Linked DNA regions of Arabidopsis thaliana. The protein of the gene in region 2 interacts with the protein of the main gene of each other region in a pairwise test. Each region holds a gene or a part of one and is shown on either strand. Other genes may lie near its edges.

Region 1 (3,755 bases), on a different chromosome or scaffold from region 2:
GTAATGTCTAATTAGTGATTATGGGATAGGTGGGTCGTTTGTTCACAAAATAAAGCCATAAAAATGGTTAATGTTAATAATATCAGTAGTTTGACTAATCTCTAACAAAAGCAAAAGAAACTGATAAGACAAGAAAGAAGAAGGATGGATGCATGAAAGAGTGGTCAAGGTCTCCTTTTAAGTACTCCTTTTTTCTCCTTTGTACTCTCTATTTCTTCAATTGTCTGCCACGTTTCACAAACAGCGCACGTGAGAGTGATACGCCACTTATAATCGATACATTACAGATGGAAAGAAGTTCTCATTGAACACATGAGACAGATTTAAACATTAATTATCGTCGAAACTGAGTAATTTGCACCATAAAAAGTAAATGGTGAGAGTGATAGATAGACTAAAATGTCTTTTGGTATCCTAAGACGTTGTTATAGGCGTTCTCTTGAGTGAAAATCATTGATGTTTTATTTTGATCTTGCTGATTTCGTCTAATCTTTAGCTTAGCTGGTGGTTTGTATTTGTTGGAATTAGTTTTTTTTTTTCTTTTTTTTATGGGTTCAAATCAACTTATTGGAATCACCTTTGATCAAATTTCACAAAAGAAATGGCTAGTAGAGTTACACATAAGATGAATACAAGGCCCATATGGAAGGTGCAATGGGAAATGTAGAAACTTGACTGCATGACCGAGAGTATGAGAGAAGTTTCTTCCAAAGGAGTCAAATATCTCTGTGCGTGTTCACAATTCTTGTGCAAGGGCTTTCTCGATGTCTTTCTGTTATGCAGAAAACAAACATGAAGTAAGCCATAAAAGAGTGATATGATTTTATAATAGAATATGAAGAACAAGAGAGTTAGAGACCTGGATGGATAGAGGTGAAACAGTTGTGCCATAACGATCAATGACTTGACCATCTTTGCCGACCAAGAACTTGGTGAAGTTCCATTTGATACGACTTCCAAGAAAAGAGGGTTTCTTAGATTTGAGGAATTTGTAGACTGGTGCAGCGTTTTGTCCATTTACACGCACCTACACACACACATAGATGATCATGATCATTCATGCTTAGTTATAAACTTACAAAATCAGCTACCTATTAAAGGCATATGAAGAAGAAAAGTGTCTTGTTTGTTGAGGTACCTTTTGGAAAACAGGGTATTCAGCCTTAAAGCGAGTACAAGCAAATTGATGAGCCTCTTCGCTGGTGCCAGGCTCTTGGGACAGAAACTGGTTGCAAGGAAACGCCAATACCACAAAACCTGATGATGATCCAAAGGAAACCAAAACAAAAAATCTTACATAAACGATGAAGTAACAAGGGAAAGCAAAAGAAGAAGAGTCTTCTTTATTAGAAAGGAATATATACATTCCTATTCTAATATTCTTGTATGGTCTGACCTTGATCTTTATATTTCCGGTAAAGTTCCGTCAGCTGGGTGTAATTGGACTCCGTGAATCCGCTGTTCCCCAAATTGTTTGTTAACAAAAAATTTAGAATCAAGAAATAATAATTAACTAGAGAGAAGATGATCGGAGGATCTGACGGACCATTTAGAAGCGACGTTGACGACGAGCAGCACTTTCCCTTGATACACGCTTAGGTCAACCTCCTTGCCGGAGCTATCCTAATTTCCGATAGATCAGACAAACAAGTCAGAAACGCATTCATTCATCAGATAAACAAACAATGAAGAAAAGGGATTCATAAATTAGAAAACCTTGACGGTGAATTGATGGATTGATTTCTCCGACACAGATGATGATGATGAAGCACCCATCTCTCGATCGATCTCTATCGCACAGAAGAAACTAATTAAAATTATTTGAAGTCAACAGGTCTCCGCTTCTTCATTGTTCATTTTATCTCGCAGCAGCATTACAGCTGTTATGTTAATTCCTTGGTAACAAACAAACCCATCCCTAATTGTTTTTTCCATTTGCTATTTAACTAATTAATCGCCTCTTTGACCATTTTTTAGAGACATCTCATCTCTCCAGGTGACAGAAATGCATATTAGTGTGTATTACCACCACTCCCCAAAAATAAACCAAAAAATTTTGTTTACAAAATATCAAATGCCTAAATCAGTGACAGTATTGCCTAACTCAAATCTCTCTCTCTCTACTACAACAAATGGCTTTTCACGACTGTTTCTTTAGCCTTCTCCACGACGTTTTTGGTCATATGTACACACACCAACTGTGCCTTTTTTCTTTTGTATATTAACATCTCTCTCAAGTGGCCCAGGTCTTTCCAACCTACACTTGTTTCTCCCTATTTCTTCTTTTCCATGACTATAGCCCAAATGTCTTTCATTTAGAGCAGACTGCACCTTTGCCCTTCTTCATCTCTTGTCTCCCACTCACCTTTGATGCCACGTCCCTGGATCTGCATATCCACAAACATACTCCAAGTTCATTTTTATATTCAAGATATACCCACAGGACAAGCAAAACAATCTCGAATCTCAGAGACCTAATGATATAAAATCCCCAGTCAAAAGAAAATGTCAGAGTTTCTAAACCTAGGAAACAATTCCAGTATAAGAAAAGGCTCTGATTCATGACGTGGAACAAGTATGAATTTCCATATTACCTCTCATTCCTACTGGAACAGGACCTTCCGAATGCTGCTTATAGTGATAAGAGTGTCTATTGTTATATGCACGCGGAGAATCACTCCACCTATTGTTCTGCAACCTTCCTGAGTCACGGTGATGCCCACTGTATGAGCTCGATTGATGAGGTCCTTTGTGTCTGTCATGATATCGTGGACCTGCAATATAAAAAAAAGAAAAGCATTCACGCCTATTAGCATCCATGAGCAAGTGCTTGTGTGCGCAGATATGCATTCATATATGCATTCATATATGCCTATTAGCATGCATGAGAATTATAAGGAAAAAAAAAAAAAAGGTATCGGAGTCCACCATGAGAAGAGGGCGGATGATATCTCCAATTGTCTCGATTCTCGCATGGTTCAGGCCTCATTCTCTCATAGCTGTCTTGATAATTCCTTTCGTCAAATTCCAGTGTGTAATGAGATCTGTGAGGGTATGATAGACCTTCTCTCCGCGACTTTATATGGTGGTCCGGCTCCATATATGAATAATGATGTGATGGCGGAGGAGGTGGGGGATGAGAAGATGGATATGGCCTATGCTGGAAGTTAGAACCCTCCCCACGTGGCATGCTTTTTGACAAAGATACTCGGGAACTATAAGATGGTTCAGGACTTCCGTAATGCATTGGGGGATTCATCCTTGGAGGACCGGCATGATAGTCGCCCTTGAATATTAACCACAAATTAAGTTATTAACTATGTCTGAATCCTCACTTTGTTAACTGCAAAAGATTCTAAAAGAAGAAAAAGGACGCACCTGCATGCTGGGATTTCTGCGGTAGTCAAAGCCATTTGAGTAGGAATTAGACATTGCCAACTGAGCATTCTGCGAAGGGCGAGCTGGTGGAGATGACGAGGTAACATTCTGATGTGAAGTTCCAGGGACAAGCAGACAATTTGCAGACTCTCTATTATCAGCTTGATCTGTGATCGCACTAGCACTGCTTCCACCTTCCCAAGGTGGAGCCACGTCTTCCATTTCAAGCTCACCATCAACATCTTCCAGTATACGGGTATGCCTTTCGGTAATGGACGGTGTGACATGTTCTTCAAGGCTTCTTGACTCGTGTTCAGGGGTGACAGACTCAAAATCACCCCCATCCGAGTCACTTCCTTCGTCTTCATCCCTAAGTA
Region 2 (4,470 bases):
ATCACATACGTGTGAAGTGCATGTATTTTACAGGATTTTTACTGATAATTTTTTTTACAGGTTTTGAAATTATAGTTTGTTATAAGAGAACATTCAAGACTATAAAATATTTCATTTTATTACAAAGCTAAGTAGTTATCAATGTTATTCCTTTGAATGGGACAGGGTTAAAGGAGACGACGAGAGGATGTTGCGGGACTGGAGAAATAGAGTTAGCGTACTTGTGCAATGCTTTAACTCGGATTTGTCCTAACCCTAACCAGTACCTTTTCTGGGACGATATTCATCCTTCCCAAATTGCTTACATAGTCATCAGTCTCAGTCTTGTTGAACAAATTTTCCACGTACTCTCTTGATTTTCATTTTGCTTTCATATATATTAATTAATCTGTAGTCAATCTATAATTATTTCCCTGTGGGTTCACATAATCTTTCGTATTTGCTTAAGCTAGGTTTTACATGTATACTATTATGATATTATACTACTCTATCCTGGTAAGTTGTAACTCTATAGCACAATGCTCGTAAGTCCGTTTTGAAACCCAAACGAATTATATTTTAACCTTAAGGAAATTTCTTACATCAAAAAAGCAATACATGAACAAATCAATGTCGAAAAGGTGATTCCACCGATCCATGAACATTATTCACCCAAGAAAGATAAAAAAACACAGAATGATTCACAATTTTACAAAAAAATTCAATTAATAAGAATTTTTTAATTTCTTTTCATATCTAATTTAATCAACTTGAGCTTTCCTTGAACAACCGTTTGATTATAAACTCCACATCTTCAACAGTATACGGAATAAACGGCTCTCCACGCCTCCCATTAATCTCCGGTGACTCCTTCAATCTTCTGATGAAATTCGAGTACGCCGGAGATACAATTCCGGCAACAGAGCTTCTTAACTCCTCCCTCAATTGCCCATCACTAACAACCCATTGAGATTGCACCTTACACACCTCATCGAACTGTGATTTGAACAATCTTAGGTTCTCTACTAACTTGGGATACGGACCATCGGTCCTAAGCAATCCCACCACTTGGTTCCATGAGCTCCTTCGGTAATTAGAATGGTATTGCCTCAGTTTCGCTGCGTGCTTCACAATCCAATCTTCTCCTAGGACTAAACCTAGCTCGTTATCCTTAGCCTTATCAAGAATATACTTGTCATTGTTCATCATGAACAAGAAACACAAAGACGGATCACGATAAGTTCTTTTCTTGCCTTCCAAGTTACTCTCCAACAACTCCAAAACCCATATGATTTGCACAGACAACGGTCTCGTATCTGATCCGGTTTCATTTCCTGTCTGGTCAAGTATCTGCTCCAACGATTGCCGCGATTTACACGCCGCACGCAGATAATTCATCACGTACCGCGTGATCGGGTGAATCCCACCGCCAGGAAACGCTGTTTTGGGAGGGTCACGTCGGATTAAATTCTCCAGCTCCATAAATATCCCTCTAATCGCTTCTCCTAACCGTTTATGAATCGCGAGCGCCTCATGCCTTAGCGGCGAACAATATCGATCAGAAAATAGCGTTTCCATCTTAGGAATAAGGTCTTGCATCGCTTCGTATAAATCCACAACCTTAAACAAACGTTCAGGTAAACGGCTTCCTAAAGCGATCGCGTCTGCGAAATTCAGAAGCTGTGTTGTGGTTCCGCGACAAACTTCCATGAAAGAAAGATCGGTTACAGAGGAAACAGGAAGATCAGAGAAAACGCGATCGCAGAGAAGACGCTCGCTCGGGAAGAAAACGTGGAATATCAGCGTTACGGCTTTAATCCAACGGTCGATTTCGTCTTCAAGATCTTGCCATGGACTCTCTTGCACTTCCTCCATACTTAGTCCTCTGAGATGTAACCTCGACAAACTCTCCTCTAGAAACTCTCTTCGTCGACTGCTGTACACTCTTGAACACTCTTTTGCAAATCCACCAGCGACCATGCGCACAGCGATCGCGTTTAGATCGCCAATAACGCTAGATTGTAACGCCTCGATCACGATTTTGTAATCAGTGATTGGACGAGCAACGATTACCTATTCAATTGTGAATCACTTAACCACAATATAACCGATAGTAAACCGAATTTTCTAATTCTAATTCCAAAACTAATTTAGTAATAAATTTACAGATGAATTAATTACCCCGTCGCTTGTGTCGTTGTCTTCTTCGCCGGGGAACTCATCGTCCGAGTCAAACGAGTCAGGGGCTCGGTCCATTACAAATCCAAACTCTTCTTGAAGCCTAAACATCACCTGTTGAATCAGCTCATCGGCACGGGATTGACAGACGGCGACGGATTTATCTCCGGCCATGGATCTCAAGTCTCCGGCAATCGCAAGTAGCTCATCAACAGAGTCGAGGAAGGTGCGCGAGTCAACGGGATCAGACCAGATCGGTCGATCTTCCACGATGTAGCTGGAGATCTGTCTCTCTAAAGAGGTGAGGGCTCGGTCAAAGTTGACGTTTGAGCCGCCGCGGGATGGGGTGGGTCGAGGATCTCCGCCGCGGTTTCCGGAAGCGCCATAACCGGAGAGAATCTGTAAGATATCTCCGGCGGCACTTGGATCCTTGCCGAGAGCTCTGGCGATGTCTCTGGCGGCGGCGTAAAGATTCTCGTCACCGGCTTCAGCCATATGATTGGATGGGAATTAATAATGTTCGGGGAAATTACGGAATTGGTGGAATTGGGAGAATAAAGACGAAAATCCATAGACGAAGACTATAATATTGACAAAGTCTTCGGAGATTAAACGCGGGAACCATGTCTGACTTAGTTGTGTGCTTCTGTTTGTATTTTAATGGAATCTGTAATTTCTTAGTGCCACGACCACGACTTTGTCTTCGTTTCGATTTTTCTCTTTTGGTTCTGTCTGGTTTGATGTTTACAGAACGTGAACGCAATTTAACAACCGCGTTGTGCGTTTGGTCATCATGGAAATTGGTTATGGGCCGATGACTTCGTTACGTTGAATTTTCGGCGTCCAGTACACTTGGGCTTTAGATGGCCCAATGGACATATTATTCATTTTTGGGATCGATAAGTTTGATAAGGTTGAGAGGCCCAATTTTTGTCTTTGTGGTTATCTTTTATTTTATTAAAAACAGAAAAACCAAAAATTGAGAGGAAAAACCTCAGCCAGTAGATAGATAAAAGGGATTTGATTACTGAGCATGCAATTGGAGACAAGTCACACAAATTATAGACCAGACGAACACAAATGTTAAGTGATTTCATCAAAGCTCTGGTGGATCATTGCTTCTCCACCACCAATACCAATGGCTTCCCTTTACCTCAATTCCTTACTTCCACTTCCTCCTTCTCACCCCCAGAAACTTTTAGAACCTTCTTCTTCCTCTTTGTTGAGCACTTCTAATGGTAACGAACTTGCTCTGAAGCCGATTGTCATCAATGGAGATCCACCCACTTTCGTCTCTGCTCCTGCTCGTCGTATCGTTGCAGGTTCGCCACCATTAATCTGAAAAGTTTCAATCTTTTTGATAATTTGACAACAAAATTGAGTAGGTTTTGGTTTTGGATATGCACTCACAGTTGGAGACCTTCATGGCGATCTGGGTAAAGCCAGAGACGCACTTCAGTTGGCTGGCGTCTTGAGCTCCGACGGACGAGACCAGTGGGTCGGCCAAGACACCGTATGTACATTATCTCTTAGTGGTTCAGTATCGTGTTAAATGGTTTGCTTGATGATATTATTGACAGTATCTGCTAGAGTTCAACATTACGCATCTTGAGGTTCATTATGATGACTGATTCTTTTGAGTTAAATGCTTATGAGTTGTGAAATCATAATGAAAATACAGGTACTAGTTCAGGTAGGAGATATACTTGATCGCGGTGATGATGAAATCGCAATACTCTCCTTATTGAGGTCACTTGATGATCAGGCCAAGGCTAATGGTGGAGCTGTTTTCCAGGTTTTTGATTGCTATCATACTTGAATTTCATAAGTAAATTTTACACAGAGAAGCTTTTGCACTCTACACATTTTAATTTGCTAGTTCTAGAATGATGATAATTGATAGGACTAACAAAGAGTAACTTCTTGTCACATTTTAAAGGTTAATGGGAACCACGAGACAATGAATGTTGAAGGGGATTTCAGATATGTAGATGCGAGAGCATTTGATGAGTGTACTGATTTTCTTGACTACTTGGAGGACTATGCACAAGACTGGGACAAAGCGTTTAGGAATTGGATTTTTGAGTCAAGACAATGGAAAGAAGATAGGAGGAGTTCTCAAACCTATTGGGATCAATGGAATGTAGTAAAGGTACTTCATTTTGCCTTGTCCTCTCTGAGTTTTCTTAGTTTTTGTATTCGTTGGTTAACCAAAAGTCGGTGGGAAAACCATTAGGACAGAGGCAAAAGGGAGTAATTGCAAGGTCGGTCCTTCTCAGACCAGGTGGTCGTTTAGCATGTGAATTGTCGCGT
Region 3 (4,688 bases), on a different chromosome or scaffold from region 2:
CTTGATTTTGATTTGACAGATTTCAAGAACTTCCTCACTGCAACACCTAAACATAGGAGGAACATTTATAACCGATGAGTCTCTTTTCGCAATTGCAGAACGCTGCCATCAGCTTAAGGTAACAACAATCATCTAACCAAATAATTCTCTCTAGATTCATGAGAATCACGCTTTCGAAATTGGAATCCTTTATGCAGACAATCGGAATGTGGTGTTGCCGTCATGTGACAGAGAGAGGCCTTCTTGTTCTTGTAAACAAATGCAGAAAACTCGAATCCATCAACTTATGGGGAACTAGAGTTCCTGTAGATTGCTTCATTGCTTTACTTACCATCAGTCCTGCTCTTCAGATCAAACCCATGGAATTGCTTCTCAATGCTCAGAATCCACCACCGTTGCTGCATGCTGTCTAGTGTTGCTCATCATATTTCTTGTTTGTTGTGTACATAGTAATTCATACAATTGAATCTGCATATATCTTATGTGTTCTCTCATCAATCAACAACATATATATATAAATATTCAGTAAAGTTTCTATTGGAGTAGAATTGTGTCTATATATATATATATATAAGTTGCATAACAATCAACAGAAGCTGAAGACACACATACACAAGATTTCTGCCTATAGCTCTGCAGTCTACAATACAAGAATCAAATCAGAAACTCTTTCTAAGGCAATTCATGTCAACTTAGGCTCTCTCATTCGTTCTAAAGAAGTGATCAAGATTCTCTAACCTAAGAATCTCTCCACGTGGTTTGATTGGTTGTGTCATAGTAGAAATATCAGCAACGGAAGCAATGAGAAGCAGAAGACAACAATGTTGTTTAGTTGGGCCACAGAAGCTAAAGATCTTGAGAACTGAACTGAACCTGAGTAGCTTCCACCTGAGTTGCTTCCAGCCGTTGAATCCATGCTTGGAGTTCTTGTCTGTACAGTAACATTTTTGCATGAACCATAAGCTGCTCCTGGCTGCAACATCAAGAACCAAAATACGGGTGCCGGTTTTAGATAATTTAGGCTTGTAAGATCTTATTTCATACCCATAAGTAACTTTGGCGCGAGTTAATAAGTTAATACCTGGCAAGCAGAAAGAGTTTCACAACCGCAAAGTACCGGTCCATTCATTCTATCCAGAATTTCGAAAACGCCGCCTCCATCACTTCTCTGCAATATTATGGTTTGTTAGCTAGATCTCGTAAAAACAGTCATATTATAGTTATATGATTGATTCAGTACCATGTAGAAGTTAACAGCAAGAAAGTTTGGCATTCTATTCCCTCCTGACTTGAGACAAGTCCCAACCATCTCAGCAAGTGGAGCTGAGTGCTCCTTGCAAGCGTCTTTCTCAACCGGATATGTCGGGAAGTAATTCATCAAGAATAGCGAAGAACTTTTTGAATTTAAAGGTTGAGACTCTTTTCTGTTAGGACAAGAACCTCGCTTCACTCCGGGATCCCCAGCTTTAGACAATCATAAGAAAATGGCAAGAGAAGGTTATTCTCAGAGACAATTTTCATTAAAGATATAAACTGTGTGTAATACGCACATTCATTTTCAACCATGTATCTCCACTGATACGCAACGCCTTCTTCATCTTCTTTGGCAGCAACAGAAGTGAAAACCAGGAGCCTATGATTCTCTTGCACCATGTCAGTCACAGTAGGCCAATCTTCTCCCTTTCTAGGCATTTTCGAAACAGGGAACCAGTATTTGTCCAAACCAGCGTTGGCAAACAGTGTTGATAAGCCTTTAGGTCTGTGCACATAATCCTCTATTATGATGGTAACAATCTCTGTTGGGTTTTGACTCAGAAATGCCTCAACTTCCCTCAGTATGTTAATTGCAGGTTGCTGATTCAAAAAGAAAACAAAGTTCACATTTACCAATCCAATCAGGTTTCAAGCTTTCGATCCAGCAAGGTTAAGCTGAAGATAAAACTTACAAAAGCGGTGAAGTTGAAACATTGCCCTCGAAGCGAATGGCAAAGCCAGATATCATTGTTGAAGTCATACATATCCAGCATTAGCCCTCTAACTCCATTCTAGAACAAAAATATACATTCAAGAGTTTTATCCAAAAAAAGAGGAAACTATAATAAGAGAGTTGGTAATAAGAGCATTACTTGTAGCTGATTAGTAATAGTATCTTCTTGATTGTAAAATGTAATCCTCTCAACACCTGGCAAAAGTGGTGCATTTGCATTGCTAAAGGCATTATGAGTCATCAACCATGTATACTTGTTAAAAGGCAATCCATTGATCTACAAAAAACACACACACAAATTTCATCACCACATCTTCAAAGTTCAAAACTTTTGATACAACCAAATGATCTAGACTATCTTTTAATGCAACCAAATGAAATCTTCAGCAAAACCCATCTTCAAAGTTCAAAACTTTTGATAGACCAAGTGATCTAGACTATCTTTTGAAACAACGCATCTTCAAAAATTGGAAACTCTAGAGAAATCCAACTAATTATAGGAACTAAATCTCACAATGGAAGTTGGACTTGTGGCTTGGCCTCTTGTGCAGACGGGTTTACTTCTTCCAACGGCAGGACAGTCTCCACAGTATAAACCAGAGACACAATCAGTAGCCGAGGAGCATGAATCCAGCAGCTGAAAGAGACACAAAAATGCAAAATCCCTAAAGATTTAGACCCAAATTTGATAGCCATAAACCAGAGAATAATAAGCAAAGAGAATCAAGAACCTGGCAATTTCCATTGGAGCAAGCTGAGGAAAAAGAGAAAGAAAGAAGAAGAAGAAGAAGAGAGACAGTCACGGCTCTGCATAAGCCATTGATGCACGCCGACATCGCTCCGTAGCTTATGCAGAGATAGAGAGAGAGATATGAATGATGTTGGATCTACTTGGGGGGGTTTTCAAAGACGAGACAAAGAGATGTTTAGGTACTAAAACCCGGGCTTCATCGATTTGTTTTGTTAATCCTTGAAAGAGAGGTACAAAAGAAAAAGATTAGCTTTGGTTTTCTTTTTCTAAGACAAGGTTGAATCTTTTTCCCACCTAGCTCCTAGAGAGAAAATGAAGAAACGATTAGTAAAGAAGATAAACCACCTTTCAAAAGGAGTTCAATTTTGAGCATAATACAGTTTAACATTATAATAACATAACTCAAAACTACAGTTTCTAGTCTTGTACACCAAACATATGGAGTGACATTTTTGTCAAGATTTATGGAAACAGTGATCTTGTAAGAGTTTATCAATATAAGTAATAATGGTTTTATATTATTTCTTCTAGTTGTTAGGTGAGGTCTATCATAAAAAAAAAAAAAATTATTTCACAGATCACTATTTTCATTCTCTAAAATTTGCTCAGTTATAAGATTTTTTCACCTATTATTAGATGAAGATATCTTTTTTCTATTATGGTTAACGGTGCTCACATGCGTGGGGACACTCTTGTCTTGTTGCTTGTCTCTTTGCTTCTTTCAATGAAAAATGTTACAATTTTCATCATCTTACAAAAATTACTCAAACATCTAGGTGAAATTTTATTCTTAACGAGATTTATCATACCATGCCTATTTCATCTGCAGATTCGTCAGCAAGTGACGTATCGAATTAGTGACACTCTTAACGATCAAATGATTAATTTCCATTAAACCAAAAAAAAAAATGATTGATTTCCATAACCGATTTATTCACAATTGGTGATTTAACACACAAGTTGCTGTAATATACTCTTGATGTGTTTTTAACTTGAGATTTTTTTTTTAATACACAAAAAAAAAAAAAAACTTTTGTAGTTTGGACATTTACGTCCATTGAGTATGACGTCGTCGTCGTGTAAATTCTCTCTCTGCCTCTCGCTATAACGCTAGGCCCATTTACGTATTTTACTGAGCCTTTTTAGTTGGACCCAAACTCTCTCTTTTTAAGCCCATGACCCAAGTAATGTAATTAATCATCTTGTGAACTTGTAAATGAGGAAAACAAGATGCATATCTCCGGTTTAAAAAGCGTTTTAATGACGTTGAAAGCAAATATACAAAGCCAAAACATAAAATTTCCTTCCTTTTTTTGTTGAAAGCAACATTTATTATTTTTTGTACTTATTCACTCTAAAATGATATTTTTCCATTGAAGAAAATTCAATAAAGAAATGTTTTTCTATAAAAAACCAATTCAACTGTATTAGAGCTATAATTAAAACAGAATCCTTATTTTCAATAAAATAAATCTTCCGAATCCAGCTAAAGTTCCATTTTTATTAGCTGTCACAATTTTTTTAATTGAATTTTTAACATTTTGGGACTTCAAACTACCCAACAATTGTAAATCAGTGGTCTTTTTCTCCTTGAACTTTTTTTTGGTATAAACCTTTTTTCCTTAAAGTTGCTAAATCCTTTTATCCATGGAGGCACTGAAAAGTGGGTTATATGCATTATTTATCGTTTAAGCCTTAATTTGGTATATATATTTTTCCTTTAACTGAGCTACAATATATTTAGTGGTTTTTCTTTGTTCATAACGTCTTTATTTTTTCTATTACTTTATCAATATTAAGACTATCCTGTCCACTCAAGTATTTGCATTTGAATGGAAGAGTTAAATGGTGATGATACTTGAAAGTGTTAATTATCTATATAAATTCAGCTTAATCTAGCCCCTTGAAAAAAAATTTTGAGTCAGGTAATATGTTTCTCCAAAAGTATGG

Evidence for each region. The genes of interacting proteins can lie anywhere in the genome.
Region 1: the proteins of EXO70B2 (region 2) and GPX5 interact in a two-hybrid assay, tested with the Arabidopsis thaliana proteins (one large-scale study listed by BioGRID).
Region 3: the proteins of EXO70B2 (region 2) and AT5G67130 interact in a protein complementation assay, tested with the Arabidopsis thaliana proteins (one large-scale study listed by BioGRID).

What each region holds. Positions count from the first base shown.
Region 1 is NC_003074.8:23,308,182-23,311,936, reverse strand, and holds GPX5 (glutathione peroxidase 5), read right to left. Parts: upstream 2,201-3,755; 5' UTR 1,777-2,200; coding exon 1,717-1,776; intron 1,624-1,716; coding exon 1,547-1,623; intron 1,459-1,546; coding exon 1,397-1,458; intron 1,258-1,396; coding exon 1,139-1,257; intron 1,028-1,138; coding exon 860-1,027; intron 773-859; coding exon 737-772; 3' UTR 540-736; downstream 1-539. Other genes in the region: AT3G63070 (Tudor/PWWP/MBT domain-containing protein), read right to left, coding at 2,362-2,387, 2,595-2,774, 2,929-3,286, 3,379-3,755. UniProt on the Arabidopsis thaliana protein: May constitute a glutathione peroxidase-like protective system against oxidative stresses.
Region 2 is NC_003070.9:2,149,654-2,154,123, forward strand, and holds EXO70B2 (exocyst subunit exo70 family protein B2), read right to left. Parts: upstream 2,889-4,470; 5' UTR 2,653-2,888; coding exon 2,161-2,652; intron 2,053-2,160; coding exon 745-2,052; 3' UTR 505-744; downstream 1-504. Other genes in the region: AT1G06990 (GDSL-like Lipase/Acylhydrolase superfamily protein), read left to right, coding at 166-356; SLP1 (Calcineurin-like metallo-phosphoesterase superfamily protein), read left to right, coding at 3,296-3,479, 3,543-3,655, 3,738-3,770, 3,851-3,952, 4,097-4,309, 4,399-4,470. UniProt on the Arabidopsis thaliana protein: Component of an exocyst subcomplex specifically involved in autophagy-related, Golgi-independent membrane traffic to the vacuole. Regulates autophagosome formation and autophagy-related Golgi-independent import into the vacuole.
Region 3 is NC_003076.8:26,789,734-26,794,421, reverse strand, and holds AT5G67130 (PLC-like phosphodiesterases superfamily protein), read right to left. Parts: upstream 3,124-4,688; 5' UTR 2,824-3,123; coding exon 2,719-2,823; intron 2,625-2,718; coding exon 2,502-2,624; intron 2,265-2,501; coding exon 2,127-2,264; intron 2,046-2,126; coding exon 1,947-2,045; intron 1,855-1,946; coding exon 1,551-1,854; intron 1,465-1,550; coding exon 1,241-1,464; intron 1,169-1,240; coding exon 1,082-1,168; intron 974-1,081; coding exon 773-973; 3' UTR 540-772; downstream 1-539. Other genes in the region: AT5G67140 (F-box/RNI-like superfamily protein), read left to right, coding at 20-118, 198-413; AT5G67120 (RING/U-box superfamily protein), read left to right, coding at 4,685-4,688.